Linked DNA regions of Arabidopsis thaliana. The protein of the gene in region 1 interacts with the protein of each later gene in a biochemical or structural test. Each region holds a gene or a part of one and is shown on either strand. Other genes may lie near its edges. The genes, in order: GAPC1, FBA6 and AT5G37890.

What was found.
Region 2: the proteins of GAPC1 (region 1) and FBA6 interact in far-western blotting, tested with the Arabidopsis thaliana proteins (one study listed by BioGRID).
Region 3: the proteins of GAPC1 (region 1) and AT5G37890 form a complex in vitro, tested with the Arabidopsis thaliana proteins (one study listed by BioGRID).

The regions. Positions count from the first base shown.
Region 1 is NC_003074.8:1,074,863-1,085,274, reverse strand, and holds GAPC1 (glyceraldehyde-3-phosphate dehydrogenase C subunit 1), read right to left. Parts: upstream 4,334-10,412; 5' UTR 4,199-4,333; coding exon 4,195-4,198; intron 4,090-4,194; coding exon 4,060-4,089; intron 3,971-4,059; coding exon 3,870-3,970; intron 3,507-3,869; coding exon 3,391-3,506; intron 3,297-3,390; coding exon 3,197-3,296; intron 3,087-3,196; coding exon 2,940-3,086; intron 2,845-2,939; coding exon 2,784-2,844; intron 2,691-2,783; coding exon 2,450-2,690; intron 2,361-2,449; coding exon 2,144-2,360; 3' UTR 1,585-2,143; downstream 1-1,584. Other genes in the region: AT3G04130 (Tetratricopeptide repeat (TPR)-like superfamily protein), read right to left, coding at 1-1,139; GLR1.1 (glutamate receptor 1.1), read right to left, coding at 5,039-5,353, 5,443-5,777, 5,867-6,179, 6,268-7,475, 7,659-7,914; AGL57 (AGAMOUS-like 57), read right to left, coding at 9,353-9,976.
Region 2 is NC_003071.7:15,294,154-15,304,565, reverse strand, and holds FBA6 (Aldolase superfamily protein), read left to right. Parts: upstream 1-5,811; 5' UTR 5,812-6,178; coding exon 6,179-6,206; exon of another isoform or gene 6,207-6,426; intron 6,427-6,503; coding exon 6,504-6,731; exon of another isoform or gene 6,732-6,816; coding exon 6,817-7,637; 3' UTR 7,638-7,953; downstream 7,954-10,412. Other genes in the region: AT2G36480 (pre-mRNA cleavage complex 2 Pcf11-like protein), read left to right, coding at 1-1,307, 1,438-1,452; AT2G36470 (DUF868 family protein, putative (DUF868)), read left to right, coding at 4,198-5,181; HRD (Integrase-type DNA-binding superfamily protein), read left to right, coding at 9,709-10,263. UniProt on the Arabidopsis thaliana protein: Fructose-bisphosphate aldolase that plays a key role in glycolysis and gluconeogenesis. Associates with GAPC1 to the outer mitochondrial membrane, in a redox-dependent manner, leading to binding and bundling of actin.
Region 3 is NC_003076.8:15,087,119-15,097,530, reverse strand, and holds AT5G37890 (Protein with RING/U-box and TRAF-like domain), read left to right. Parts: upstream 1-5,575; 5' UTR 5,576-5,708; coding exon 5,709-5,900; intron 5,901-6,350; coding exon 6,351-7,019; 3' UTR 7,020-7,853; downstream 7,854-10,412. Other genes in the region: AT5G37910 (Protein with RING/U-box and TRAF-like domain), read left to right, coding at 213-365, 644-1,321; AT5G37900 (TRAF-like superfamily protein), read left to right, coding at 2,729-2,872, 3,047-3,628. UniProt on the Arabidopsis thaliana protein: E3 ubiquitin-protein ligase that mediates ubiquitination and subsequent proteasomal degradation of target proteins.

The DNA.
Region 1 (10,412 bases):
TCATCGTGATGACAATACATAGCAATCATAGAGTTATAGGTAGATGTATTAATGGAAACACCAAGCTCTGGCATCTCGACTCTGAAAACCCGCTCAGCTTCTTCTAACCGACCAGCTCGAGCAAGCGTGTGAATCAAACAGTTGTAGAAAAGAGAATCGGGTTTACAGCCGGATCTTTTCATCCTTGTAGCAACCCGTAAAGCCTCCTCAAACTCTTTCTGTGCATTAAGAGAAGACATAATAGTTGTGTAAGTAATAGAATTCGGAGGAGACCCATTAGCTTCCATCTCACTTAGCATTTCATAGACCTTAATAAACTCAAACTGCTGGCAATAACACCTTATAATCGTCGTATAGCTAATAACACAAGGACGAAAACCATGACCTTTCATCTCTTGGATCGTCCAAAGAGCTTCCTCAACTCTATTTGCCTTACACCAACCATGAATGAAGATATTAAACGTATGAGCATTTGGTGTAATATGTGACTTCAGCTGTAGCAAAACTACTCGGGCCTGCTCCACTCTTTTCTCCTTGCAAAGCGTATCGAGCAGTAAGTTCATCGACTCCGTGTTCTTCTCCAATCCAAATTCACCCAACCTATCAAATATTCCCACAGCTTCTTCCCACTCCCCTGCACCAGCAAATCTCCTCATGATCTTAGCAACTGTATTCAAAGTAACAAGTTTATCTCCTCTCATTCTCTCCACAAACTCCTTCATCCGATCCCATTTCTTCGCCTTGCCGAGAATATCCACAGCCATATCATAAGCATCACTCGAATGTTTATGCCCTTTACAAGACTCAGCCCATTTCAAAATACCAAGCGCAGATCTCCAGTCATCTCTAAACCTATGAAGCAGCTTATGAACCAAACCATCAGAAAGATTGACTCTTTTACAGATTTCATCGCTAGATAGACGTTTAAAAACATCATCTTCACTATCTCTATCACCGTCTCTACCTACAATAACATTCCATATCTCCTCAGACTGTGAATATTCATCAAGTGTCTCAGGTAATTGCTCCGAAGCAGTAGAGAGATTCTTGATAAACGTAGAGAAAATAGCGATAGAAGACGAAGAAGGATTAAGGCGTAACAAGGTGTTTCCAATGCGATTTTGAATAAGCCAAGACATTAAATCTAAAACCCAGAACAGGGTTCTTCAACTGCAACCATAGGAAAATCAAATTTTTATCATCATCAATGAAATTTGAATCTTACTAGTGACATATGACGAAAATAAGTTAGACATGAAACTCAAAGATCGTACCTGAAAGATGGAGCAAAGGGAAATTGTGAAAATGACGACGGCCTCTTGCCGGAGAAATTTGAGGAGGACTAATCGCAAGAGAAGGGTTTACGGCCCAAAGTTGGGCTCTCTGGTTTTGGAAGCGTTTTACACCGTCTGGTTTGAAAAACCGGTTAGGCTTTGTGTTTGACCAACTGGGCTTTGGCATTGGGCCTTCTTGTGTCGTATATCAACGACCTCCCCATTTTTTCGATGCGGATGTGTACAAATAATTGAAGTGCCACTATACGTGAATTTGTGTAACATGGTTTAATAATTTGTTCAAAGTACCTTTACAGATGAACACATATTTCGTTGTCTTTATAAACCGCACATCTGTTAATGAATTTCTTATGTTTTGAGAAGAATCAATAACAAAAGGCAACATGAAATACTTTTCATTCAAACATCAGTCTACAAACTCGCATAAATGAGAATCGCAAACATAAAATATAGGTTCCACTTAGAAACTTTTATTCGAAAACTAGAAGAAGCTAGATTAATAAGTGTACACCTCTAGTTCCTTAGATTTGCTACGTCATCATCAACGGGAGCTCATTTAGTTTCATTTTTCGTTCAGATTTGATTTAGTATATAGTTAAAAAGAGAAGTGGAACAAAATTGAAAACCATAACGTTAACTCAATATATCAAAAGCCAAAAACAAAGGGCTTCCAGTAAAACATCGGTCTACAAACTCCCATCACCTCACATGAATGAGAATTAAGAAAACCAAAAAAAAAAAAAGTTCCAAGTTCAAAGAAATTTTATTCGAAAACGACAAATTCAGACCATAAAAGGGGATGAACAGATGACTTTCCACTCCCTATCATTCGAGATCTGCTTCTTAGCTTAGGCCTTTGACATGTGGACGATCAAGTCGACCACACGGGAACTGTAACCCCATTCGTTGTCGTACCATGACACCAATTTCACAAACTTGTCGCTCAATGCAATTCCAGCCTTGGCGTCAAAAATGCTCGACCTGTTGTCGCCAACGAAGTCAGTTGAGACAACATCATCCTCGGTGTATCCAAGGATTCCCTTGAGTTTGCCTTCGGATTCCTCCCTATGTATTGGTGGTAAAAACACTTGGTGAGTAATTTGATCACTACTGGAATATAAGTAAACTTAATCTGTCATTGCTCAAAAGCTTACTTGATAGCCTTTTTGATTTCATCGTAGGTAGCAGCTTTCTCGAGTCTGACAGTAAGGTCAACAACTGAGACATCAACGGTTGGGACACGGAAAGACATTCCAGTCAACTTTCCGTTAAGAGCTGGAAGCACCTTTCCGACAGCCTTGGCAGCTCCAGTGCTGCTGGGAATAATGTTGAATGAAGCAGCTCTTCCACCTCTCCAGTCCTTCATTGAAGGCCCATCAACAGTCTTCTGAGTAGCTGAAATCATAAAGCAAACCCCATTAAATCACAAATTTTCCACCTATAGGCAAGCAAGTTTGTAATAAACTTCTAACTGATTGATAAATTTACCAGTGATTGAGTGGACTGTAGTCATAAGACCCTCAACAATTCCAAATCTGTCATTGATAACCTACACAATGAAATCAAAGAACGTTAAATGAAATTAGTCACTTCAACTTGAAATACAAAGTCAAATTTGATCATATAGAATATCAGATATTTTACCTTGGCAAGGGGAGCAAGGCAGTTAGTGGTGCAGCTAGCGTTGGAGACAATGTCAAGGTCGGACTTGTATTCGTGCTCGTTGACACCAACAACAAACATTGGAGCGTCTTTGCTGGGGGCAGAGATAACAACCTTCTTGGCACCACCCTGAAAATACAACAAGTCACAAATTTAGTTGAATGATACTAAGCAAATTCTAGCACATAAACTATTTATATCATTACAAGACAAAAATAACCAATTCAAATAAGACAAACCTTCAAGTGAGCTGCAGCCTTGTCTTTGTCAGTGAAGACACCAGTAGACTCAACAACGTAGTCAGCTCCAGCCTCGGCCCATGGGATATCCTCAGGGTTCCTTCACAAATACCAAAAACTAATGAGATTGAAATTCACAACAGTTTGTAATATGTATACACGCAAAGAGACAGAGAACTGGTTGATAAATGTACCTGATGCCGAAAACAGTGACTGGCTTCTCACCGAAGAGAAGGGTCTTCTCATCCTTGATCTTGAGTTCATTGTGTTTCCATTGACCGTGAACACTGTCGTACTTGAACATGTAGGTCTGCAGCAATCAAACACAGAGCGCAATCAAAATCAACTCAACCATATCAACTCTAATCACAAACAGGCTAATCAATAACATTACAAACACAGCAAAACAAACAACAGCTCCACAAGTATACTGATCAGCTAAACAGTATGAACAATGAACACTAAACCAGTTTCCAGATCTGTGCACTAATTGAACAAATCATCTGACACTTAAATCCACATGCATAATCCATAAATGATATGATCCATCTATCAAATCTAACGAAAGCAAAGGTACCAGAGCGACTAACAGAATCTTATCGTCAAGAGATCAAAATAATATTGAAGCAAACCAAGATCGAATCACCGTCAAAACCAAGGAAGGAACACTAACCATGTACTCAGTAGTGATGAAGGGGTCGTTGACAGCGACGAGCTCAACATCGTCCCTCTGGAGAACAACTCTAGCAACCAAACGACCAATTCTTCCGAATCCTAACGATAACAGAAATCAACAGTCAGATTCTAGATCTAGATACATGAGAACATACAAACCCGAATTACAAAATCGATTCGAAACTCACCGTTGATTCCGATCCTAATCTTCTTGTCAGCTACATAAAACAACAAACAAAATCAGAAAAACGATCAGATCAGAAAACTCAACAACGTAAAATAGCAGCGACGGGACGAGAGATTAGTAAAAGCGAGAGACTAACCCATTGTAGAATCGAAAACGAGAGTTAGAGAGAGGTTGAAGATGAGATTGGCAGAGAGAGATTTTAGAGTGAGATAGGTGAGTGAGAAGGGTTCCGTGAAGAGGTTATTTAAAAGAGAGAAGAACGTGGAGGAGGGGTCGGAATGATCTAGTGGCTGAGAGTTTTTCTTGGCCAAAAAGTCAGATCTGATTCAATACTTTTCTTAACCTAAAAGACCAAATTGCCCTTAATCATTTTCCTTATTTACCGTTGTAGCTCTGTTATTTTGGCAAATGTCGTCATTCCTGAGGCGAGACATGGCAACTGCATCTCACGCGCTAATCTGGAATATTCTTTAAATATTTAAGACGGGTCGGGTAAGCATGAAACGCAGCGTATTTGGATATGCTTTTATGCGCCGACCAGTGTTTGACTGCCACGAGTTCACGAGCGGCCCATTTTAGTAGACGGGTTCCATTTTCTAGAACGTAACGCCCAAATAAAATTATATTTTAGAAAAGTATATATTTCAAGTTTTCAACTCTTTAGGAGACTTTCTTTAAAAGAAGATATTTGATAGGCGTATATGGACAAGAATTTGAAAATTTTGATTTGATAAGCAATATTCAAAAAAGCAAAAGTCCCTATCAAAAACTCGATTAGTTGATGTATTTAATTCAAAAAATACTTCGTGATGGGTGAATCACTTTAGTATTTACGTGAATTAAATTATTACATGTGAATTTAAACGGGAAAAAAAAACAAGTATTACATGTGAAATTTGTTTCGAAGTGTACTTTGTTGTTACTTATGAGTCCTGTCCCGTCAATTGCTATAGTAGAGCTTATGAACGATGGATCACTTTTTACTTATAGAAGCTTTGAAGTTTGGTGCATAGTCGTGATACCTCTTGACGCGTATGAAAGAGATGTAGGGCTAGTACGAGAACATGAGCAGCTCCCGCAATGATGAACAAACCGCGCAACTCACGGAAGGTGAATCGCTTAGATGCCTCATCATCGTCGTTGGTAGATGCAACTTCCTCGGTGTTGGAATGTACATTTAGTGAATCCAGTTTTTGAAACCATTTTTTCTCCATGTCTTTCAACATTCCCAATGATCTTAGCTTCGCGATTTCTCGCGATACTTTAGGAACCAAATCCGAACCTTTCTGGAACATCTGAGAGGTAAACATAAATTAGTACGTAACAAGAATAAGTAACCAAATAATGGAGAGAAAATGAGAGGTTTGAGGAGAAGGGTACATACAAAGCCAAAGCCATTGGTATTAGTCACTCTATCTGTCATTACGAAATCATTCGGATAATTTCCGATAAGGATACTGAGATAAGGTATTTCATTGATGACATGATTAAGAGTTCCATCTCGCAAAAGTTGTGCATAGGCCTCAACTGCATTAATGGATCCGAGCTTCGCAGTCATTGACGTCGTAGATCCCCCGAAAACCATCTGATGATTTAATTGCATGCGAGAAATGGTCTTGGTTGATGTCAAGTTTGCGCTGTAACTTGAAGTCAATATTAACACCACAAAAACCCAAACTATGACTAAGAATCTTGATGACATTTTCTGTAGCTTCTCTCCTGCCAAGAATGTGCGTAATTTGTTATAGATCAAAATATACAAAAGGATGGGATTTCATGAAGAGTAGTACTCTAACATAAACACTTACTGTGAGCAAATACAATGGTTGAGAAACCAAACCAGAGCATCATACTAAGTTGTTGTCCCCAAGAGCCCTGAAATTCCGGATTAACGGACCGTTCAACTAACCAAACAACAATCCCAGTTAAGACAAAGAAAGCTCCACTTGCTAGCCACAAGGATTTTTCGAAAGGATCAAAGAAGGTCCACATCCCTTGGCTTTTCTTTTTCACTGTCAAGATTCCAATACCAATGTCAGTGTACGGCAAAGTAAAATCAACATACAAAGATCTGTTGGAAGTGATGGTGATATCACCAACTGCTGCATCATACTTGTCTCTCTGTCAAAATTGCAAACACACATTATTAGAAACATACATAATCATTTTTGACTAGAAAAATGTTTTTAAACTGTTTGCATTTTCACACCTGAGTAGAAAGTAGATAAGCAAGATTGTCATTGTTTCCACGGTAAGGTATGAATTCAAGCTCGTAGTTAAAAGGAGCAATGCAAGTCTTGAAAACCTCTACGCAGAATCCAGAGACAGTATTAACACCTGTTTCAGGATCAGGACGCACCGACACTAGATGCGGGACCTTGTTTCCTGCGGTAACTAAGACCCTAAGCACCTTCTTTTCACCTTTCTCTGCCAAAACACGGTGTCTTGGGATCTTACGAGACCTGCCAGGCCAAACAATCTGTCTTCTTTGGCTAAAACTACCACCACTCCATAATCCTATCCTTCTCTGTTTTTCTCTTCCAATATTCACGATTTCAAATGTCTCTGAGATAAATTTGTTGTCAGAGATTTGGATGTCACCACTCAAACCCTTGAATCTACTATGTCTAATTGTATCCAGAAGATCAGCTGATACATTCGAAGATGCTTCAACTTTACCACTTACACTGAACTTCTCTACTGCATTTGCTAGAATACAAGCGATATCGTGTGCGCGTAAACCGATGATTACACTAGAATGCTCTGTTTCTGTATCATCTCCCATACGTTTCCTCAATCTTGAAGTAAAATTCTTAACTTCTTCAGATACAGGGATGTAAGATTTGAAACCAATGACCCCTTGCATCGACCTAGTTATTGCAAAATGTTCCAAGTAGTTCATGGTTCTTGCAGTGAGGATCCAAGCGAACGCTTCTTCCATCAAACCTAACTTCTCTACACATTGGAAGAGACGAGAAACAAGAATCTCGGACATATGCACCACAAAAACCGATGCTCTTGAGACCTTAAGCTTCCTTAGCTGATTCATCATATGATTTTCTCCTGATGATGAGACTGCAAAAGAAGCAGAACGAGCGATATAGATTCCTTTATCTTGAAAATTCTCAACCAATATTTGCAAACTCTCACTCCAATCATCAGCATCCTCGTATATAACCACAACCGATTTACAACTGAAATCTTGTATGAGACTTGTAATTCCCTTAGCCTCTGATGTAGTATCATGCGTCCATTGAATAAAGTTATCGTATTTCTTCAAAGATAACGTGTTTGGCAAGAAAGTAGATATGACCGGAACTTTAGCTTTTTCGCTAATCGTCGCCAAAAGCTTTGCCTCTTGTAATGATTGTGCACCAACAATGGCTTCCGCTTTTGCATTTTTGAGAAGATCAGTAGCTGTTTCATACAAACACAAATTGCAGTGCAAAACGGTTAGTGCAAGACATGAGAATGTTAACCGGAGTAAACCGGCGGGACTAGGTCAATTCTTTTTTATTTGATTCAGTCTGCTTTAAATGAAGAGGAGTTGTGGATCCCACCAAAAATTGCAATAATTGAATAAGGGAGATGAAAACTCACCGGCGGCAAGAGCAATGATCGGGTCTCCTTGGGAGTCTCTGACCAAAACAGAGACTCTGGTTCGGTATCCATTGTTGATGCCATAGAAATCTGAAAGCGCTAAGTTAAAAGAAGTTTCCAGAATCTTGCCTTGTATAGAACTCAAGTCAACCACCAATCCAACCCTAACCTCTTCGAAAACATCATCGTCGCTTGGAGCAGCTACTACTCCGGAAAAGAGAAGAGCAAGAATGGAAATAGAAAACAGAATCTCCATATAATTTCTTGTATAGCTCTGTAACGTTCGCTTTGGGTTATAAACAATGGTGTTTCCATATCTACTTGTGCCATGGAATAATAATTATACTGGACCATTTTTTTTTTCCGGTCAAATTGCATTTTGATTTTCTGAAGTGTATGGTCACAATCATTTTAAATCAAACTAACGCGATATCGCACACAATCAAAGTCAATGTGTACTGTTCATCGACACAAATTGACTAGGAAACACATTTATTTCCTTCTAAAGTATAGTTGAGCCTTAAAAAAAGTTTTATTTAATTTATGTTTTCAACAGTTACTTTTAAAACTGATTTCAAAATCCAGGTTAAATACAATGTAAAATACATATGCAGGGGAAACCATAATACTAGATATATTAGCTTATTTCGCAAAGTCAATTCGTAGAAGTAAATATTCGAGTTCAAGTGATAGGACAACCAAGTGATATATAATAAAATCTACCACAACCCGAGAAGCTAAAAAAAATCACAAGCTGGTTAGTTCAACTCGTCGAGGAAAAATCAAATCAAGAGATTAAAACTCTAGTCTAGGATGATCCCACAGTCATCTCCTTCTACAATCATTAAATTATTACTCTATCGAAACCACACGCTCGCGAATACTTATAGAGTACATGTGGAATGAGATAACGTTACCAGGGAGATTAGGAGACTTGGCTTATAGAATACTTATGGAATACATCTCCCTCGCGACTTACCTGCGCAATGAAAACTTTTTCTCGTCTTGTTCAATAGTTGTACTTCGCACAAAGGATAATACGATCATAAAAAGACTCATAATACGATCTTCGATATACCCGCGCAACGATGGATCACATAAACGGTCGCATGGTTGGAAAATTTAGGGCTCATCTCTGATTGTTTTATTTTCTTCACAAAGGGGCAAAAATATATATATACACTGTATATATATATGGGGTTTTTTTTATGGTCAAATGTTATTGCCCTTCGAATAAGAGACCTTTGATTCGTAAGAAGAGATTATTATTTTATAAGAGAAGGTTATGACCGAAAGGTTTCTGAAGAAAATGAAAAATTACTTTTAAAAGGAATTTTATCTTTAAAAGGAAACAAAAGGAATGGTTAAGTTTTACATGATTGGACGCAAAAATGGAAAATTCTTTTGATTACTTCAAAAAAGGAAACCCTCATTTCTTATTAATAATACATCAAATAAAAAACTAACATGATTTTTCGCAAAATATCCAATTTGTGAAGACCCTAACGCTCGAATTTGTCATCACTTGGCTCAGTCTTTCAACTTTTGAAAACTGAAACTCCTTTTTTCTCAATACTGTTAGATAATAGAGATATACTCGAGACGATTGAGCTTCGTCAAATGGATACATGCAGTATTAAAATCAGCAGTTCAAATACAAAGAAATTTAAATCATCAAGTATGAATATGTATGATCATGCTTCACGATCGAACAGACGAACACCACCAGAAACTCGACGTCCCACACGAACAGAAGATGAACCACCACAGTCTTTTCCCAATCGTAAGTGAGCCATATTGTCGCATAAGTTATCACGTAACTCGAGCATCGCTTGGTACCTTTGCTGCAGCTCCTTCGCGCTCAAACCTTCCGAAGGAAAGTTCCACCACATTTTATCTAACTTCTTTTCATTTCTCGATTCCTTCAACAGTTTCAACTTCTCTAGATCCATCGCAAGCTCCTCTTCGAGCGCCTCCATTTTTTTTACGAGGTCGTGGAGCCTTCGTTTCTTATAAGCTTCGACGAGGGGTCTGGTATCGTCTCTCTCTAATGGTTCTTGTCTCGAAGGGTTCTTTAACCGGTCAGCCACTTTCTTCATAGACGGATGTGCGAATGTATAGGGCTTCTTGGGTTGAGAGAAAATCAAGAAAGCCACTTCAACGTCACACATTGCTACGAGCTCGTTCATTTTCTTAAAAATTCCGGTTTTACGTTTTGAGAACGTAATCATCCTATCTCCATAGTTCTCCACCTTCTTCATCTCGATCTTTTGCTTCCCCTTTGTTTTTCTTCCCTTTGCTTGCTTCGTAGATGACATGTTTGCAGAAACCAGAACTAGTGTTTGATTTCTTGTAGGTTTGTTATTTTGTATGTAATGATAAAACCATGCGCAAAACACAATCTATTTATAGACCAAAGAAAGAGATAGGATTACAAAGTTTGGAGACATTAAATTTAAATCTTAGTTATGAAGAAAGTGTATTGACTAATTTACAAAAAAAAAAAAAAAATGTTGACTAAACACATTTGGCAACCACTTTAACATCTTCATTAATCAGTCAAGAAACTATTATGGTAACCCAATTGGTGTAATAGCTGGTGTAAAGGCTAATTGACCATTCAAGGAGGAATGTTCTTTTAGGTAATTACGAGTTTGTGTATCCCTTACAGGGAACATACCTCAGATCCAAAATTCTTTTGTTACAAAAAAAATAGGAAAAATTTGATATAAAAGATATCTACTACAAAATTTG
Region 2 (10,412 bases), on another chromosome or scaffold:
TACATGATTCAACTTCTAAACAGAATGTGACCAAGCAAGATGTTAGAAGAGCTCACTCACTCCCCCAACGTGATCCTAGGGCTTCCCGGTTTCCAGCAAAACAAAATGTTCCCAGGGATGACTCTGTACGGCTCCCATCTTCAAGTAGTCAGTTTAAAAACACAAATATGCGTGAACTACCAGTGGAAATCTTTGACTCTAAGTCAGCAGCTGAAAATGCCCCAGGCCTTACTCTTGCCTCAGAAGCTACAGGACAACCCAACATGAGTGATTTGCTAGAAGCTGTCATGAAGAGTGGAATCCTTTCTAATAATTCAACATGTGGTGCGATCAAGGAGGAAAGTCATGATGAGGTCAACCCGGGGGCACTAACCCTGCCAGCAGCCTCTAAGCCTAAGACTTTGCCAATTTCATTGGCTACTGACAATTTATTAGCTCGTTTAAAAGTTGAACAATCCTCCGCACCACTTGTCTCATGTGCAGCGTCTCTTACTGGCATCACCTCAGTACAAACGTCAAAAGAGAAAAGTAAGGCCTCAGATCCTCTTTCATGCCTCTTAAGCTCTTTAGTTTCGAAGGGCTTGATATCTGCTTCGAAGACAGAGCTGCCATCGGCTCCTTCCATAACGCAGGAACACAGTCCTGATCATTCCACCAATAGCTCTATGTCTGTATCTGTGGTTCCAGCAGATGCTCAGCCATCTGTTTTGGTGAAGGGGCCATCTACTGCCCCTAAGGTAAAAGGGTTAGCTGCACCATCTGAAACATCAAAATCTGAACCCAAGGACCTCATAGGATTGAAGTTTAGGGCGGACAAAATCCGTGAACTTCACCCTTCGGTCATTAGTAGTCTATTCGATGACCTTCCCCATCTCTGCACCTCCTGCAGCGTTCGCCTTAAACAAAAGGAAGAACTTGATAGGCACATGGAGCTGCATGATAAGAAGAAGCTCGAGTTAAGTGGCACAAACAGTAAATGTAGGGTTTGGTTTCCAAAGGTTGATAACTGGATAGCAGCAAAAGCGGGAGAGTTAGAACCTGAATATGAAGAAGTTCTGAGTGAACCTGAGAGTGCTATTGAGGATTGTCAAGCCGTAGCTGCTGATGAGACCCAATGCGCATGTATATTATGTGGAGAAGTATTTGAGGATTATTTCAGTCAAGAAATGGCTCAATGGATGTTCAAGGGAGCTTCTTACCTGACCAATCCTCCAGCCAACAGTGAGGCCAGTGGTCCTATCGTCCATACAGGTTGTCTGACCACGAGTTCATTGCAGAGCTTGGAAGTTGGAATTGCAATCAAGCAGGTAACTTGTAGCTCTAGTCAATTTGCGACTTTTGGTCATTCTAGGGCTCTCTGATCTCAAACTTTGTTCTTTAATCCTGCATGAATCCACCTTTACGTGTTTGTTTCTCGTTCGGTTCCTATTTTGCTAGGAAATTGTTGAGTAGCCTCCATATAAAGACCTATGGTGGAGGAAGAAGTGGCATCACAGAGGAAACAGGTTCGTGATTCCTCTGAGTTCCTCATGATGCTAGTTTTGTAGAAAAGTGTCGAGCTTTTGAGTTAAGGAAAAAAGATGTGCAGCATTTTTAATTTTATTTTTTCTTATTTGTCTCTCCTTTTTCATCATATACAAATACAAAAAGAGCAAAGAGGCCTTCCCAATATCGGACATTTCCATATTCTATGCCTTTCTTTCGTGTGTCACAAAAGAATATGCGGGTTTCTTATGAAAGTGAAACACAGATTTGTCACGTTAACGTCTCTTGAACATCCAACGCAAAGCCATGAGACCATATATAGAACTTAGCAATTACTATTTCTGTTTGAAAGATTTATGTTGTCATATCTCTTATTTGAGGGTGGTTGTGGTTATCATGTGAATCCTCGTAGAATGGGAGTTGCTTTTTATTATATGAACCCTTGACTTGCTTGCAGATTGGGGAAAGAGCAAAATTAACATTTATTGGAGGGAGAAAAATGCAAAAGGTGTGAGAGTTAATTAGTGAGTCTTGTAATGAATGTGTAGGTGGGAGAGAGTAGGCTAGAAAAAAAGCAGAGGACGGTCTCTATTTCTTCGCTGTTCCTTGCTTTTAGGAAAACTCAATTTTCACGTGAACAAGAAGCTCATCAAAATTAATGTGGTATCAGCATAAGCAAACTTTCTTGAATAAGCAACTAGTCATTACTTTCAATTGCAAACTTTTGAGAACGTCATTGTGGATACAAAGTTTGTTACCAATGGAAATGGTCAATATTTGGCCAAATAAAGGACAACATCCGAAAATGGTATTTTATACATTGGCGGCATGTAGCAGATTAACAAATGTAAACCCTTGTTCATTTACAATTATTTATCTAATGAAAATATTAATGCTAAGTAGGGCACATATATGATATATCCAATAGCACGATCGACTGAAACTTTCCGAGCATGAATGAGACAAGTCTTCCAAACATGTGTTTTAACTAAATAGCCACATCAACCCTGTTTTTGAATAACTATAAATTGTGGAAAAGGAGATTTAATTATCATTGTTTTGATGTTGTTGTAGGTAAGATGATTGACTTGTAAGCTTTAATGAGCTTATCCAATTGTGTTTGTTTTTAAAAATAGACTCGATTTGTTTTCAATTCGTCCGTCTTGATGACTCATGATGCCATTTCTCAAATTTTATAACACTCAGAGAAATACAAGTCCAAGATGTGATTTGTTCCTTTTTGTTCATTTATCATGTTTCGTTTCTTGTCTTCTTTATTTTTTCCTCGTGATGGACTCTTTTTTTTCTTTTCAGTTTCTAATCTTAGTTTCTCTTTAATTATGTTTAGAACCTAAGATTTTACGTGAAATTAAAGATGTCTAGAATATATCAGTTAAGGGTCAAGTCTATTCACATCTCGTGTTCTATTTTGCACGACTGCATACTTTTTCTTACTTTCGAAGACGTCATTTGGAATACTATCTTGTATTTTCCTTTAATTAACGACTATAAGAAAATACCAAACACACACATCTTATTACAACCTAAGCTGTATAAATCAGGTCAACGTATTATTTAAGTTCATTTGTTTGTTTGCAACAATATATATTTAATCTTGTTTCCATGAATTATGTTATAGTAATACTAATTAATGATTTTAATCGTAGAAGCAGTGGCAATTCATTTAAATACATAACGAAAGAGCCATCTTTTTTTCTTTTTTTGGACAATTGAAAGAGCTATCTAATGTCCGTTCCTTGGGTTTTTTATAAAGACAGTTCTTTAACGACCTTATGAGAATTTTCCACTTGCAGTTGATGTTTGAGACTTTGAGTTCGAAACTCATAAACCTTGACATGTTATCGAAAACTAAATTGTTGATACATAAGTAAAGTGGTCTAACTGTCTAAGTAATATTTTTGGCCGATCGATAAATATGATTCAATTATAAAATGAATTTTAAAAACACATCATTTCTAGATAGTTTCACATTAAACAAAATTGACTATCAAGCATTGTATCAGCAAAAGAAAGATATCAAGGGGAAGAGAAGAGTTTAAAATTCATAAATGTTGATAATGCAAGGAACATGGTACAAAATATCTAAATTTCATTTCTGCAAATCTCTTGTCGTTAGCTCATCTTTTCCACATCTAACTTACATTTAATGATGGATTCGTATTTAAATTTTACATTTTCAACAAGAGTAACAATAAAAAAAAACACCAATCCATATAATAGACCAGACGAAACTCAAAAAGTCAGAAGAGAAGAGAGACATCTTCACATGGCCGAATGAAACACATATCCAAACGCCAAGGACAAAGAAGAATTCATCACTTTCTTCCATTTCTTCTCTGCAACTTCCGTACCAAAAAATACATAAAGCCCTAACTAATATTATTTCTCCACCAAGTTTCTTTATCTTTTAGTTTCCCGGTAAAAAATCTCTCTGTCATGTCTTATGTTCTTCCACGTCGTTCCTAATCTCCCAAGACAGAATCTCTAAACTTCATTTTGCTCCTTTTCCACACAAAACTTTCTCTCCCTCCAAAGACCACAAAAAATGTTCTTCCTTCCTTCAACTTCAAGTATCTCTCTTTATTCACACGTATAGCATCCAAAACCAAAAATCTATAACCTTTTCCTCTGTAAAGTTTCTTCCTTTCTAACCTTCCCGAGAAAAAAACAAACCCTTTCTGTTAGAAAACCATGAGAGGTCTCGCGGCTTGTTACAGTGAACACGCCATTAAAGTATCAGATACATATTGTTCAGGTCCATCGAATCATTCCTATATATCTCCGACATTACCTCCTTCAATCCCCGACACAGTAACCACCACTTATAGATCCAATCTCCCATCTTCCGACAAACCCGTCTCTGTTTCACTCACCTGGTCGGATAATCTCACCGTCGTCATCTCAACGCCGCCGAAATCATACTCTGTTTCACTCAGAAAACCTAAAGGATCAAGAAAGTTGACTTCTTCCTCCGGTTCACTCAACGCCGAGATCCTCTGGGATCTATCGGAAGCAGAGTACGAAAACAACGGACCTGAACCAATAAGAAGATTCTTCGTCGTCGTCGTTGTAAATTCCGAGATTACCCTCGGAGTCGGCGACGTTGACCACGAGCGAGACACGTCATCATCGTCGTCGTGGCGAGTCTCAAAAACGGAGAGATTCTCTGGAACTTGTTGGCTCACGACGAAAGCTCAATTCTCCGACGTCGGAAGGAAACACGAGATACAGATTCAATGCGGCGGAGGAGGAGGAGGAGGAGGAGAGGAAGGGTATTTATGGAAAGTGAAAAGTCCTGAAACGATGTCGGTTTATGTTGATAAGAGGAAAGTGTTTTCGGTGAAGAAGCTTAAGTGGAACTTTAGAGGGAATCAAACCATGTTTTTCGATGGAATGCTTATAGACATGATGTGGGATTTACACGACTGGTTCTACAAAGAAACGTTGTCGTCTGTTTCGACTAGTTCATCGTCTAAAACGGCGTCGTCGTCATCGTCTTCTTCAACTTCATCGTCTACTCCTCCGTGTGCTGTGTTTATGTTTAGGAGGAGGAGTGGTTTGGATAGTAGATTATGGATTGATGAAGATGAACAAGAGAGTGAGATGAAGAAGAATATTGGTTCTAGAGATGAGAAACATTCGTTTTCACTTATCATTTGTGCCTCTAAAAAGTGACCAAATAAACAAATAAACATTTTAACATAACTCTTCGTTGTCTGAAATTTTAATTTTAAGAATATTTTGTGTTGCATTTAGGTATATCTGATAGGTTGATTAGATCAAATGTTTTTGTGTTTTTTCTCTGCCAAATGTTCGTGAGAATGCAAGAGATATTCAAATTGTGTTCATCAAAACTAAAATTTATATTCAAAACCGTGGATGGCAAACTATGCATAAGATAAAATGTACATAATTTTTGTTATCTTCTAAAATAAATGTACCTAATTTAATAGCCTAATAATATCTTCTAAAGTTATTAACTTTTGTTTATGACAATGATGATGATAGGAGCATTTTCGATATTTCCAAAAAAAGAAATGGAAAGGACATTGCAACAAAATTGAAAATTCAAACAAACAAACAAAATAAAAAGTGCAGCTAGGGGATAAAATTCAAAAGGCAGGATAGAAAATAAACAAGAAAGAATTCATGAATAAATAAAAACACTAGAAGTTGAAATTCTGAAAAATACTTGAAAAGAATTGATACAATGAATTTGATGATTCATTGTCCGAATTAGACTACTCACAGTCTCACATAAATATCAATTCTAAATTTTTGGTTCCAAGATCTCAAAGTCTTCACTTCTCATTTTGTAAACACAATTTTTTTCAAGGGAAACAAAAATTGAATCATTTTACCTGAGGAATATTATTGGGCTACAATGGGCCGTAGTGAGGCCGAAGTCACACCTTAAATAGAACGTGGTAGAAGTTACTATAATATTAGAGTTACAAACCAGTAATCACGGAAGTAGTAAAAACGGCCCATAGAAAGTATAAACAATCCAACGGCTGAAAAAGCTTACCTTGGAGAAGAGTCCAAAATATCTTCTGGAAGCTACCATCACTCTCTCCTATATAACTCAAAATTCACCATCATCTTCATCATCATCATCATCATCATCCTTTCTTTATCCAACTTTCTTCACCAAATCGATTCTTCTTCAACCATGTCTTCCTTCACCTCCAAATTCGCCGGTAACACTTCATCTCTCTTTCTCAGTACTCTGTTTATCAATTTTCTGCACAATCGATATTAATTTGTGTCACAAGTTTGGATTCTTCGTTGATACGGTGCTACTTTGATGCGATCTCGTCTTCTGCACTAAAAATTGATAGATTATCCGATCACGCACATCAGAATGATTTTAGCTGTCTTCGATTTGGTTTTTAGGTCTTACGGTTTAACGTTTTTGAGGTTTATATAAAGGCTTTGGACTAGTTGTTTAAGTGATCTGACTATACGAGTCTAATTTTTGGGTTTTGCTCTTGCAGATGAGCTGATTGCTAACGCTGCTTACATCGGAACACCTGGAAAAGGTATCCTTGCGGCAGATGAATCAACTGGTACTATTGGGAAACGTCTCGCTAGCATCAACGTTGAGAACGTTGAATCCAACAGACGTGCTCTTCGTGAGCTTCTCTTCACTACTCCTGGAGCTCTTCCTTGCCTCAGTGGTGTTATCCTCTTTGAAGAAACTCTTTACCAGAAGAGCTCTGATGGTAATTGACAGTTTAACATCGCTATATGTCTGAATCTGTGTATCATCGTTGACTTTGATTGGGGTTGATTTTGGTTGTGATGCAGGTACGCCTTTTGTTGATATGTTGAAGAGTGCAGGAGTTTTGCCTGGTATTAAGGTTGATAAGGGTACCGTTGAGCTTGCTGGAACCAATGGTGAGACTACTACTCAAGGTCTTGATGGTCTTGGTGACCGTTGCAAGAAATACTACGAGGCTGGTGCTCGTTTCGCCAAGTGGCGTGCGGTTCTTAAGATTGGTGTTAATGAGCCATCTCAGTTAGCTATCCATGAGAACGCTTATGGATTGGCTAGGTATGCTGTCATTTGTCAGGAGAACGGTCTTGTGCCGATTGTGGAGCCTGAGATTCTTGTTGATGGCTCTCATGACATTCAGAAGTGTGCCGCGGTGACAGAGCGTGTTCTTGCAGCTTGCTACAAGGCTCTGAGTGATCACCATGTCTTGCTAGAAGGAACACTCTTGAAACCTAACATGGTTACTCCAGGATCAGAGAGTGCGAAGGTTGCACCAGAGGTGATTGCTGAGCACACTGTCCGTGCTCTTCAGAGGACAGTTCCAGCTGCTGTTCCAGCCATAGTGTTCTTGTCTGGTGGACAGAGCGAGGAAGAGGCGACAAGAAACCTTAACGCGATGAACCAGTTGAAGACAAAGAAGCCTTGGTCGTTGTCTTTCTCCTTTGGAAGGGCGTTGCAGCAGAGCACTTTGAAGACTTGGGGAGGAAAAGAGGAGAATGTGAAGAAGGCTCAAGAAGCGTTCTTGGTCAGATGCAAAGCTAACTCTGAAGCAACACTTGGTGCTTACAAGGGTGATGCTAAGCTCGGTGAAGGTGCAGCTGAGAGCCTTCACGTTAAGGATTACAAGTACTGAAGAAAGAGGCTGAGGATCGTAGTTTTTATATCATCGTTTATGTTCTTGCTTTCACTTTCTCTGTTTTTTGTTTGGTGTTTTGTTTAGAAGAGTGGTGGCACCAAAGAACCCCGTTTATACTTTTTTATGAGGTCTTTGTGTTCTTATGAAGCCTTTTTAAAAATGAATATTAGCTTGTTGGGTTATAATTTAACATTATCAATAGTGACGACATTTGGGCGGTTGTATAGTTCATAATGTCTACCAAACTCAAGAAAATAGAAAAGATCATCGAAATATTTTGGACTCCCAACTTTGAAACCCAAAGGTAACATACAATCTCTAAAAGGCCTCCTGGCACAACAGAAGAACAGGCCAGTGAGGCTACCAACCATGCTTACACATTTCAACATCCATATTTTTTAGCATTAGAAAACTCTTTTCTTTTGAATGTTGTATTTATTCAATCAAAACGAAATATGTACATATTCTTTTTTTCTTTTGTATCAGTGATCTACTTGCAAACTTTTTGGAATCCTTTGATATCACCACTATTTCTACGTTGAAAGGATTTACCGACTGCTTTAATAATATAGTTAACATTCTACCTAGTAATTAATTTATGGCATAAGAAGTAAGATCAAAAGCAAAATTTTTACTAGACAATGTATTTTATATACACAAAAAGCTTTTGTTAGGCAAGCATTAAAGCTAGCTTACCATTATTAAAATATATATATATATATATATATATATATTTATTAGAATCATTCTCTACGTAGTCAATAGAATAATTAGTTTTGATTTTTCGTTAGTTACAACAACAAAATATCTGAGAATTGAGAGACTTTGAGAACATATAGACACCATACTTGGAGACTTTGAGAACAAATAGTATAGACACCACAACTTTCACTTAGACTTTGGGAAACTATAATGAAACCAAGTATTTACTACACCGTGGGTTAGTTATAGATTCAAATTAAGTGGTATTTGTAGCCAATACATTAGTTAGCATATGAATCTAGTACTTGTTCTGATTTATTTTCTGTTAATCAAGTTTAATTAATTAGTTTACAATGTTTATGCTTGATTTTTACATAGATATCCGACAGCCTAGTAGATCAAGTGCCAACCGGCACGCACCAGCAGACGTAGGTGATAGAGAAAATTTGATTTAATTAGGTGAATTTCTTTTTTCACACACATACATCTATGGTGGGAACAAAGATTCCACGGTATATCGAGACATGAAATGGATTTCTTACCCTAATCGATTTGACAAGTTTGAATGAGAATAATCTAGAAAATCTATTACATTATATTAATGTCTAGTGGGGATGATAAAGCCTCAAAGAAATTGACCCAAACGAAACAGCAATCACACACTAACTTCTTCTTAGCATTTCTAAGACACTTTTCGATGTGATTATTCTATAAATATCCGACCCTTCACCAAGTCAACTCTATATTCATTTCTATTCTGAAATAACCATTAACCCCAAAGTAAGCAATATATAGGAAATACATATATACATTATAGTCTTATTATGACATTGGAGAAGTTGTGGTTTATACCCCTGGACATGGAGTGTATATATAGCAACATTGAAATACAGTTTCACAATATGTAAATAACACAAAATTATACCAAAAATATTGTAAATCACACAAATGAAGTAGATAATTTTAATTTTTATTGAAGTGTTTTCAATAAAGTGGTGTCAAGATCATGAGAACACATGTATTTTCATGAACCTGTGATGGCGAAAACGACCACTTTAGATAGAAACATATATACATCATTTGCAACTTAATTGGCCACCACCCAAAAAAACGCGATATCCAACAAGAGGAGCAATTAAAAAGCTGTCTTTACAGCTTTAGCTTCATCATCTCTAAGCTGTGATCAATTCCTCCCAAACCATTTTCTAACTGGTTTGCACTTTCTTCACTCTCTTCTCTTCACTCTTCACTACGTACTTCACTCTCCAACTAACTTAACTGCACCATAAAATGGCTTCGATCTCTTCCTCTCCTTCCTCAAACTCATCACTCTTCTCTACTCAAAACCCTAATACTCATTATCAATATGCAAGGAACCTCCAAAGACAATGGCGGCCGCCACCCTTTGTACAGGGGAGTAAGGCAGCGAAAGAACTCAAACAAATGGGTTTCTGAGATCCGTGAGCCGAGAAAACCTAACCGTATCTGGTTAGGAACATTCTCTACCCCCGAGATGGCGGCAATAGCCTATGACGTGGCAGCTCTAGCCCTCAAAGGCAGTCAAGCTGAGCTCAACTTCCCAAACTCAGTTTCCTCTTTGCCTGCCCCAACCTCCATGTCTCCAGCAGACATCCAAGCAGCAGCCGCTTCGGCCGCTGCTGCTTTTGGTGCTGCTAGGGATGCGATTGTTATGGCAAATAATAACAGCCAAACAAGTGGTGTGGCTTGCATGAATAGTAGTTATGATAATACAAATATGAATGGATTCATGGACGAGGATTTGGTATTCGACATGCCTAATGTGCTCATGAATATGGCTGAAGGAATGCTTCTTAGCCCCCCTCGTCCTACTGTCTTTGATGCTGCTTACGACGCTGATGGTTTTCCTGGAGGAGACGATTACTTGTGGAATTTTCCATGATAGTTAAACAAACCAACCATATAAATATGTGATTTTGTGTGTTTCTATATATGTATGTATGAAATAAATAAATATGGTGTCTAGTGATGCATTGTATGCATGGTTAGGCCCGTTAAGACCGTAATATAAGGTCGTACTGTATTAAGTTT
Region 3 (10,412 bases), on another chromosome or scaffold:
TTCTAAAATTCGTCTTCTATAAACAGAGATCTCTCCATCATTCTTGTTTAAGAGTTAATTATCATACTTTTTTTTTGAGATTAAATAAACTGGTGTTCAGACACGAGAAGAGAATTCTCACCTTTGTTTGTATCAAAGTTTTGAACAAACCCTCTAAACCCTTCCCCCTTCATCAGCCGAGGACAAATTTCTCCTATTGATTTCTACGCGACATGGTGCTAGCTTCAATTTCGGAAGCTTTGATATCTCAAGGTGATGGAGGGGAGAGAGTGGCTAAGAGACAACGCTCGGCGATAGTACTGCTAGATCTTGATATCCTCGATTGTCCTATTTGCTGTGAAGCATTGACGAGTCCTATCTTCCAGGTTTTGTGTCTTATATGAAAATTCACTTTTTTTTTTTTTTGAATAATGTCAAATTATAGTCAAAAAGAAAAATATACGTTTGTACAACTTCGTGAGGTTGAATGTGAAATTTTAAAAGAATTGCTTAGGAATTGCTAAAAAACTGAACCATTCTAAGATGCCAATGAATACTGTTATCTGAAAATTCAATTGTCCAGTTTTTAATATCTATATTTTTTCTCGAATTTTGAAGGTGTAGTTACAGCTTTTTAACCACAATTTGTATTTTGTTTTTTCAGTGTGATAATGGGCATTTGGCTTGCGGTTCTTGCTGTCCCAAACTGAGTAATAAGTGCCCTGCATGTACTTTGCCTGTTGGTCACAGTCGCAGCAGAGCAATGGAGAGTGTTCTTGAATCTATTTTGATCCCATGCCCAAACGTCAGGTTTGGTTGTACCAAGAGTTTCTTTTATGGGAAAGAGTCAGCTCATGAAAAAGAATGCATCTTCTCTCAATGCTCATGCCCTTCATCGGTCTGCGATTACACTGGCTCATACAAGGATCTCTACGCTCACTATAAACTGACTCACTCCACGAATATTTTCTGGAATATTAAGCGCTTTAGATGTGCCAATTTCTTTACGACCTCCATGCTCATCAGCGATAAGATACTAATTAAAAGGGTACATGAGAAGAAACTATTGCTTGCAGTGCAGTGTTTTAGGGAACCGTGTGGTGTGTATGTGACTGTAAGCTTCATTGCACCATCTGCTCCAGAAGTAGGAGAGTTCTCATATCAACTCTCCTACAATGTGGATGGACACACTGTGACTTATGAATCTCCGGAGGTGAAGAGGGTTTGTAAAGTGAGTATTGAAACCCCTCAAGAGAATTTCATGTTGATACCTCACAGTTTATTGCGTGGTGACTTGTTGGAGATGCAGGTTTTTATCATCGAAAATGTGGACCAAGAGTAAGAAGTTGAGGTGATATATAGAACTAGGAAGGTCATTCTATTATTGTTTTCATATTCCTATGTACATGGAAACTCTTTTTGTCTCGTCTGTTTTATTTAACATATAAGCTTTGCCCCGATGAAGTAAGACCCGATTTGATTGCTTAACGGCTTGATTTAATTAGGTTTCAGTTTAACTAGATTACAACTTTGATTATAACTCGTTTGGTTTTGCACTTAATGTGATGAAATCGACCAACCAAACATTTCACAGTGTTTCAACCGTTCCATCTTTTCAAATGTATTATTATACAGTACATGCTAGGTATTAATTGTTTTAACACAACTTTTGATATATGTCAAGCTTTAGTCCATAAATTGTCATCACTCTTCTTTGTTTATATGCTGATGTAAACATACTATGACAAGACTGTTCGTTTAAAAATGTGGCGACTTAATTGTGCGACCCATAAATACCTTAAGGTTGGAGCAGAATACAAGCTGAGTATGAAAACCGATCCAAGCTCAAAAATACCGAAATCAATGGCTAGAAGAGTCATCATCTCAATGGCTAGAAGAGTCCTCACCGAAGTATTGTGGTGTGTAGTTTCTTCTCCTGTCTTAGTAATATTCATCAAGTAGAAATTTTAAGCTCTTGCGGTGAAACTTGAATGATGTTTGCTTCATTCCATGCTTCCTTGATCAAAATTATTCCATGGTTTTGACTTATGAGAAACGTAAATTAAATATTTGGAAACATGCGAAAATTTAAAAACCAATTAATATGCCATATAAGATAATACAGTAAAATATTAAAATATTTGACACATGTTACAATCAAATTGATCATCACACGTATCATGATGATAATGATGTTAGTCGTTTAATTGTTTTTATAATTTTCCTCTTCATAAGTAAAAAACCTAAAATATATTTAACACATGTGAATGTCTGATTGATTGACTACACATATATCAGTTGCGTTAATTACGATATGAACTTGTGTCAAATACTTCTTCAACCCTTACACAAAACCCTAATTAAAATAAAACCGAACATACACGTGTTCTTCTAGCTTTCCCTTGCGTTTTTGGTTTTCAAGCTCTAAGGTATTTAACAAGATTTCCTTTTTCTGGTTAGTTTCCTTTTCCTTAGTTAGTTTGGATTTGTGTTTACCACTCCTAAGAGATGTATTAAAAGTTGTCTTCTACAAATAGATCTATCCATCGTTGTTTAAGAGATATCAGACTTGTGTTTTGAGATTTAAAAAGTTGGCGTTTAAACACTCTTTTTTTTTTTTACTTTTTTTGGTACGGAAGTCTTATAAAAGTTTCGAACAAACTCTTCTGCCTTCATCAGTCGAGGATGTTTTAAAATTGTTTGATTAATGAAAATATGATAATATTTTTACTATTGATATCTAGGTGACATGGTGGGAGCCTTAGAAGCTTTGATATCTCAAGGTCATGGAGGGGAGAGAGTGGCTAAGAGACAACGCTCGGCGACATTGCTAGATCTTGATATCCTCGATTGTCCTATTTGCTGTGAAGGATTGACGTGTCCTATCTTCCAGGTTTTGTTTCTTGTCTAAAAATTGTTTTTTTCCAGCTTTTAATACATATTTTTTTTCTTGAAATTTTTACAGTGTTTTTTTTTTTGTATGTCAGTGTGAGAATGGACATTTAGCATGCTCTTCTTGCTGTCCCAAACTGAGGAACAAATGCCCTGCTTGTGCTTTCTTTATCAGCCAATGGAGAATATTCTTGAATCGATATTGGTCACATGCCCAAACGACATGTTTGGTTGCACCGAGAGTTTCTTATATGGGAAAAAATCAACTCATGAAGAAGAATGCATTTTCTCTCTATGCTCATGCCCTTCATTGGACTGTGAGTACTCCGGCCGATACGAGGATCTCTATGATCACTATAAACTGACTCACATCTCGAACTCATACTGGACCACTAACTGCTTTAGATCTAGCATTCCATATAAGGCCCCGATGCTTATCAGCGATAAGATACAAATTACAAGGGTATATGAGAAGAAAATATTGTTTGCAGTGCAGTGTTTTAGGGAGTCGTGTGGTGTGTATGTAACCGTAAGCTGCATTGCACCATCTGCTCCAGAAGTTGGACAGTTCTCATATCAAATCTCCTACACTGTGGATGAACACACTATGGTTTACAGATCACCACAAATGAAGAGGGTTCGTAAAGTGAGTTTTGAAACACCTCAAGAGAATTTCATGTTGATACCTCACAATTTATTGCGTAGTGAATTGTTGGATATTAAGCTTTCTATCGTCGAAACGTCGAACCAAGAGTAAGAATGTTGAGGTGATATAGAACTAGAAGGAAGGAATGTCATTTTTTTACTCTCTCTATCTCGTCTGACATTTATATAAGTTTTGACGAACTAAGATCCGATGTAATTGCTTAACGGCTTGATTCAGCTTTGATGCAATTTGTTTGGTATTGCTTAACACGTTTTTGTGCATTTAGAGTGATAATGGAAATTTTGATGGAATCGACCAACAAAACATTTCACAGTTTTTTAATCTAATAACTTCTAAGCTATACTTTATGCATGACCAAATTGGAGTAATGCGTGCTCTTTCGTTTGTCATGATTATGGTCTCCATCTTTTATTCTACTCTTAGTCGAAATCTAATTATAAGTAAACGTACGAACGTGTGATGTCTAAAAGCAGAAGAAAAAATTTAGTTGTGAATTGTGATTCAATGATTAAAGAATTCCAATATGGTAGTTTTAACTGCAATTTTACATATTAGTTAAGAATATAAAAGCTAATACCAAAATTCTTAAATCTTTAGCAGAAAAAATAATAGCAAAAGTTAAAATAGAAATTTCCATAAATAGCACCATTTCAAGTTTTTGGAAAAAAATAGCACTCAAACATTTTTTGGACAAAATAGCATTCAAATAATTATTTTATTTTTAATTATTAAAATTAACAATTAAAAAAATTCAAAAAGTACACAAATTCATCATTTGGGTGAATGCTCTATGAATATGCTAACACAAACTTTTTTTTTATTAGCAATCTGCTACTTCTGCATAGTAATTGACCCTATTCAAAAAAAATGAACTATATAACTCATAAATTGTTAATTCTGCAAACGATATGGTTATTGAAATTATATTGGTTTAAGCATATACTAACCTATATATCTGTTAATTCTGTGAATCAACCGCCGATTTTTTCCTTGCGTTTCCAATAATATTTTCCTCAAGGTTTGAATTACTAGCTTACATTGTATAGCACTCCATTATCTTCATCATGTAGATATCGGACTCTTTAATCTTAGCAGTCTACCACCAAAAATCAAAAGAATTTTTAAACATTTAATTTGAAAATTACTTGAGGAATAGAGGTCAACACTATGATATATTAAATTTAGAAATTACCTGAAGAAAAGAGGTCAGGACTCTGATACTGAATGGAGTGACATCTATGTCGTGGAATCTTTCAAAGAATCATTTCCTGAATTTAAGAAAGATTCTACAAAATTCAGGAAGAGTTTTAGGAAAGATTTTTTTGTGAAATCTTTTATGAATTCCGTGAAATCCTTCCCAAATTTCGTATAATAATCTTTCCTAAATTTTTTTTATGGGAAACATTTGACGGATTTTTTTTTGTGAGAAAATTTTGACAAAAATCTTTGGCGAGAAATATTTAATTTTATTTATTTAATTAAATTAGTTATTTATATTAAATATTTAATAATTAATTAAAGTTTTGAGTGTAATTTTGGAACTATTCAAATGAGCTGCTATTTTTGAAGAAATTGTTTTTTTTTGCTATTTTTATCAATCTTCCAAGGTAAAATTAGTCTAGTGGTTTGTGATTGCCCCAAATCCCAACTTCAAAACCACATTTTTGACAAAAAAATAAATAAAAGCTACATAACTTTTAAAAATAAAAATTAGCTTATTAATTAATGTAGCAAAAAATACATAAACTATTAAGACTAAATAAATAATTATTATTGTATTTTGTAAAATTTAGACATTGTTTCTGTTATATATTATATGGGCCTTAATTGGGAATTGAAGAATTAAAAAATACATAAACTTTAAGACTAATATTAATTTTTAAATGGTTTTATATATATAATTATATTCTTTTATATTGTAAATATTAATAGACTTAAAAATTAGATATTGTTTATAAGTTTATCAAAAAAAGGTATTGTTTATATATTATATGGGCCTTAATTGGGAATTGAAGAACTATCGAAGCCCATATCATCTATAGTTTGTGCCATTGTCTCCTTTCTCTGTAAAACCATCCATCAATGAACAAAATCAACTAAATTCTCTATTTGCCTCTCTCAGTTTTCGAGAAGACTAAAAGCGAATTTAGGGTTTAGTCATCTCTCCGACATGGTTGGTGCCGCGATTTTGGAATCTCCCGGCGAAGGAATTGGATCTAACAGCATTCTCTCGCAAAAGAGACAACTTTCTTCTAGTGATGCAGCTAAGAGAGACGCTAAGAAACGCTCGACAATGCTAATGGATCTGGAGATTCTCGATTGTCCCATTTGCTACGAAGCTTTCACAATTCCCATCTTCCAGGTTTCGTAATTTCTCAAATTGAATCATTTCGTATTTTTCAGAAAGTTTCTGTTTTGGTTAGAACTCTGAACATAGTTGGAACTGTGGCCATTTACTTGATTCTAAGAGTAGCCTTAGCTTTTGAGGATTCTAGTGAACTTTTGAAAGTTATGTTAAAGAAATTGCAGAGAGAAGAAGTTGGAATTGTGCCCATTTACTAGTTACTAGATTTCAAGAGTGTCCTTAAGCTTTAGCTTGTGATGATTTTATAGAATTCTAGTGAACTTTAGTAAGTTATGTTCATGTATGCAGTTGTATATAGTTATTGAAAATATGTGTATAACTTGTCTATATCATGAATTATATGGGAGAATCATTTGGGGAGAGAACTATTATCCTTGGTCGATTCGATGAATATTATCTCGACGTTGTTATAGCTTTTGATCACAAGTTATTGGTTTTGAATTTCAGTGTGATAATGGACATTTGGCTTGTTCTTCTTGCTGTCCCAAACTAAATAACAAATGCCCTGCGTGTACTTCGCCTGTTGGCCACAATCGCTGCAGAGCAATGGAGAGTGTTCTTGAATCGATCTTGATCCCGTGTCCGAACGCCAAGTTAGGTTGCAAAAAGAATGTATCTTATGGGAAAGAGTTAACTCATGAAAAGGAATGCATGTTCTCTCATTGCGCCTGCCCTGCATTGGATTGCAATTACACTAGCTCATACAAGGATCTGTACACTCACTATCGTATTACCCATATGGAAATAAACCAGATTAATACGTTCATTTGTGACATTCCCTTAAGTGTCCGGATGAACATCAGCAAAAAGATATTGATTAGAACGGAACACTTGACGAATCATTTGTTTGCAGTGCAGTGTTTCAGGGAGCCGTATGGTGTGTATGTAACTGTAAGCTGCATTGCGCCATCTTCTCCAGAATTAAGTCAGTACTCATATGCTCTCTCTTACACTGTCGATGGACACACTGTGATTTACCAATCACCAGAGGTGAAGAGGGTTCTTAAGTTGAGTTTTCAAACCCCGCAAGAGAATTTCATGTTGATTCCCAACAGTTTATTGCGTGGTGATGTGTTGGAAATGAGGATTAGCGTCAAGAAGTTGAACAAAGAGTAAGAAGGTTGGGGTCTTCCTGTTAGAAAACTCTTATCTGTCTCGTTTTAGTTATCTTAACCCGCCCATAGTCGTTATGGTTGATGAGGGTTGTAATTTTAGAGACTTGGTGCAATCGACCAACAAAACGTTTCACAATGTTTTCAATCTAAACTAAGATATAATTTATGCATAGGCCATTTGCTATGAAGCATTGACGATTCCTGTCTTCCAAGAAGATTTTTCCATCTTTCTGATTCTTATTTCTTGATAACTAAAATTCTTCCAGGTTTTGGTGTTTCTTGTTATAAACTCTGTATTAGGAACAACGAAGTTGGAAACTTGCCCTTTTACTAGATTCTAAAAGTTACAAAAACTAGTTTTGTTTTGAGGATTTGAGGATTCTAGCGAAGTTCTACAAAATATGTTCAGTTTTGGAGTTGTAGTTCTTGAAAAGTGTGTATAATTTAGCAAGATCAAGTATATATCATGAATTATAAAAAAGGTTAGTTAAATATATATATATATGGAGGATGATATAATTAAGAAAGTATACATGGACATATAATTATATCCCATAGGACAGAAAAAAAGAGGTTGAAGAGGGAGATCGTCCTCACCAGAATCCATGGTTAGGGCCTCACCAGAAGAGGTTGGGTTGTCTGTTTGTGTTAATGTGTATACCAAATTCGGTTTTCCACCAATTTCCTCCTTACAAAATACACCCATTGAACTCATGGCTGCTAATATGGAGATTTGGATCGATTTTTGTGATATTCTTCTTCTCCTTCTCCCCTTGCATATATATATTAGCCAGCCATTTAATATAAAAACTTGTGAATACAACTAAGCTTTCTTTTGTTTTAGTTGAAAGCTTTTTTATATTCTTTGTTATAAAAAAGTCGTTCATTATTTTTTTTTTCTTTTTGTTTTTTTGTTAAAGAAAGTCGTTCATTATTGATTTCGGAGAGCTGTTCAATTATCAAGACTTCGGATTTTCCGGATCTTGTTTCTAACGATTGGAAGTTTGAAGAAGCAAGACTTCGAATCCCATCTAGGAACAAGAACATATCGTGACTTCACGTTGGACAACTGTAAAATAATAGTGTACAATACAATACATGATAGTATTTGTTATTACTTTAAAATTAAACAAGGAAAATACGACAAGTCTACAACGCAGATTAAGTTAAATATTTTTCTTTTTCTGCTAGTGATATGATTCTTCTCTCCAAAAGTATATCTCTCACACAAAACTTGCTTAGGTCTAAACAATAATCTTAAAATATTTACATGTATATATTTTTGCTAAGGTTTTTGACCAAAAATCCCTCACCTATTTACTATTTTCAATATTAGTCCTTACAAATTTAATCTCAATCAAATACTTTATAACTAAAAACTTACAATTAGTTGAATTGCATTAATTAGTTGAATCAACTCTTCCTAATTTTTTATCCTTAACTAAATTTTTTTTTATTGAACTATATTCGATTAAGGCTAATTTCCTAAAATCTATATATCAACATTAAATATAAATATATAATTTTTCTGTCATTATCTTTGTTTTTATATATAGCTATTTTAGTTTATATATAAAATACATATATTTAATAAAATATTAGATTTTTTTGCATCCGATAAAATTCAAATTTTTTAAAACAGACATATAATACTCCATCGATAAAAAAAAAAGTTTTAAAGGTCCCACATTGCTTAAAAATTTGGGACATCGTTAAGAGTCATACTATAAAAAATATTTAAGTGATTCTGAATACGAATGAGAAGGAACCTTGATATATCAAACATCCAAAATTAAAAGTATTGTTCGGTTTACTCCGGTTCTTTATTTTAAATAAGTAAAAGTTTTAAAGTTTTAAAATATTATATATATTTAAAATTTATTAAAAGTTAAGTATTACAATTTCTTAAGAAAATTTAAAAGTTAATAACTATAAAATAAATTTAATATTAATGATTTAAAAATTTTAAAATTTTATGAAGTTGTAAATTTTGTAAATATTTGAACTTTATAAGAAGTTAAAATATTATAAATACTAAAAATATATTAATATTGAACGATATATTACGGGTGAAATCCTATATGTAACAATCAATATACAATTATGAAGTTTGGTCCATATTAAAACTTTTTTGAAGTTTCTAATATTATAATTATTCGAACTTCATAAAAAAATGATAAAATGATGTTTAATTTCACGGGACGAGGTTATATGGTGGGATAGGTTTGGATCGATATTAATACGGAATGATACAATTATACAATTTTAAACACTAAAAAAAAATAGTTATAAAAATCATACAGAGGTGTATCATACTATCATACATAAAAGACAATAGCATGTATCTATAGATCATCCTAAAAACAATAATAATATTTTTAATTTAATAAAAATATAGACGTTTGATGTACCTCTTGAATATGTTATATATATAAACAATATTAATAAAAATAAAATATCTAATTTTCTAAGAAATATTTCAACCCTGGATGTACCGCGGGTCAATCTCTAAATAATACAAGTTAAAAAATAATAATAATAATAATACAAGTTTTAAATCTTTATTACCTCTAAAAAACCCAAACCATAAAAATAAATATTGAATTTTCATAATTAACTAACAAATATGAGAACATAAAAATGAATTATCGAAGCTTTACATAAATAAAAATTATGTGTTAAGAATATATTATTTATATACAATTAATAATTTTTAAAAAAATTATCTATAATTTTTTAATGAACATATCCACCCGTGGTACCGCGGGTTAATATCTAGTATATATATAATATAGGTTAGTAAAAACGTGCAGGGTCTATTTTACAAATAAGAAAAATTTCTAGACTTCTTAAAGACTTTATGATACGTGAGAAATATCCTTGTCGATAAGGGTGTCGATCGGTACTGACGTGGTGTCGATCGATACTGACGTGGTGTCGATCGACACCAACGTATGAATAATGTTTCTGCTTGTCTTCTTTTCCTGAAAAGCTTCCAAAATTCCTTATTATGCTTCATAGCTCTTAAAAGTAGATATGCACCTGTAATGACTAAAAAAGATACAAAAAAGATTAGAAAGACTATAAAAACCATTCTAATACTATGTTAGAAATCAGTAAAAACCATGATATATCTCATATAATTTATTGACTTTTATTTGGTAATTGTATACGTGTGTTAGATTATTGTTGTAAGTTGTTACATTATACTCTAATTGTTTAATTGTATTTTAAAATTTACATTTATTTTATTTATCAACCGTATTATTGTGTCCTTTCTTCAATATATGATTATGCACATCAAAATAACTTTAAACTTCTTTATTAAATTCCACAAGTGTATATATAGTAAATAATTAGTAATTAAATGCAATAATTTCTTACCATATTTTTC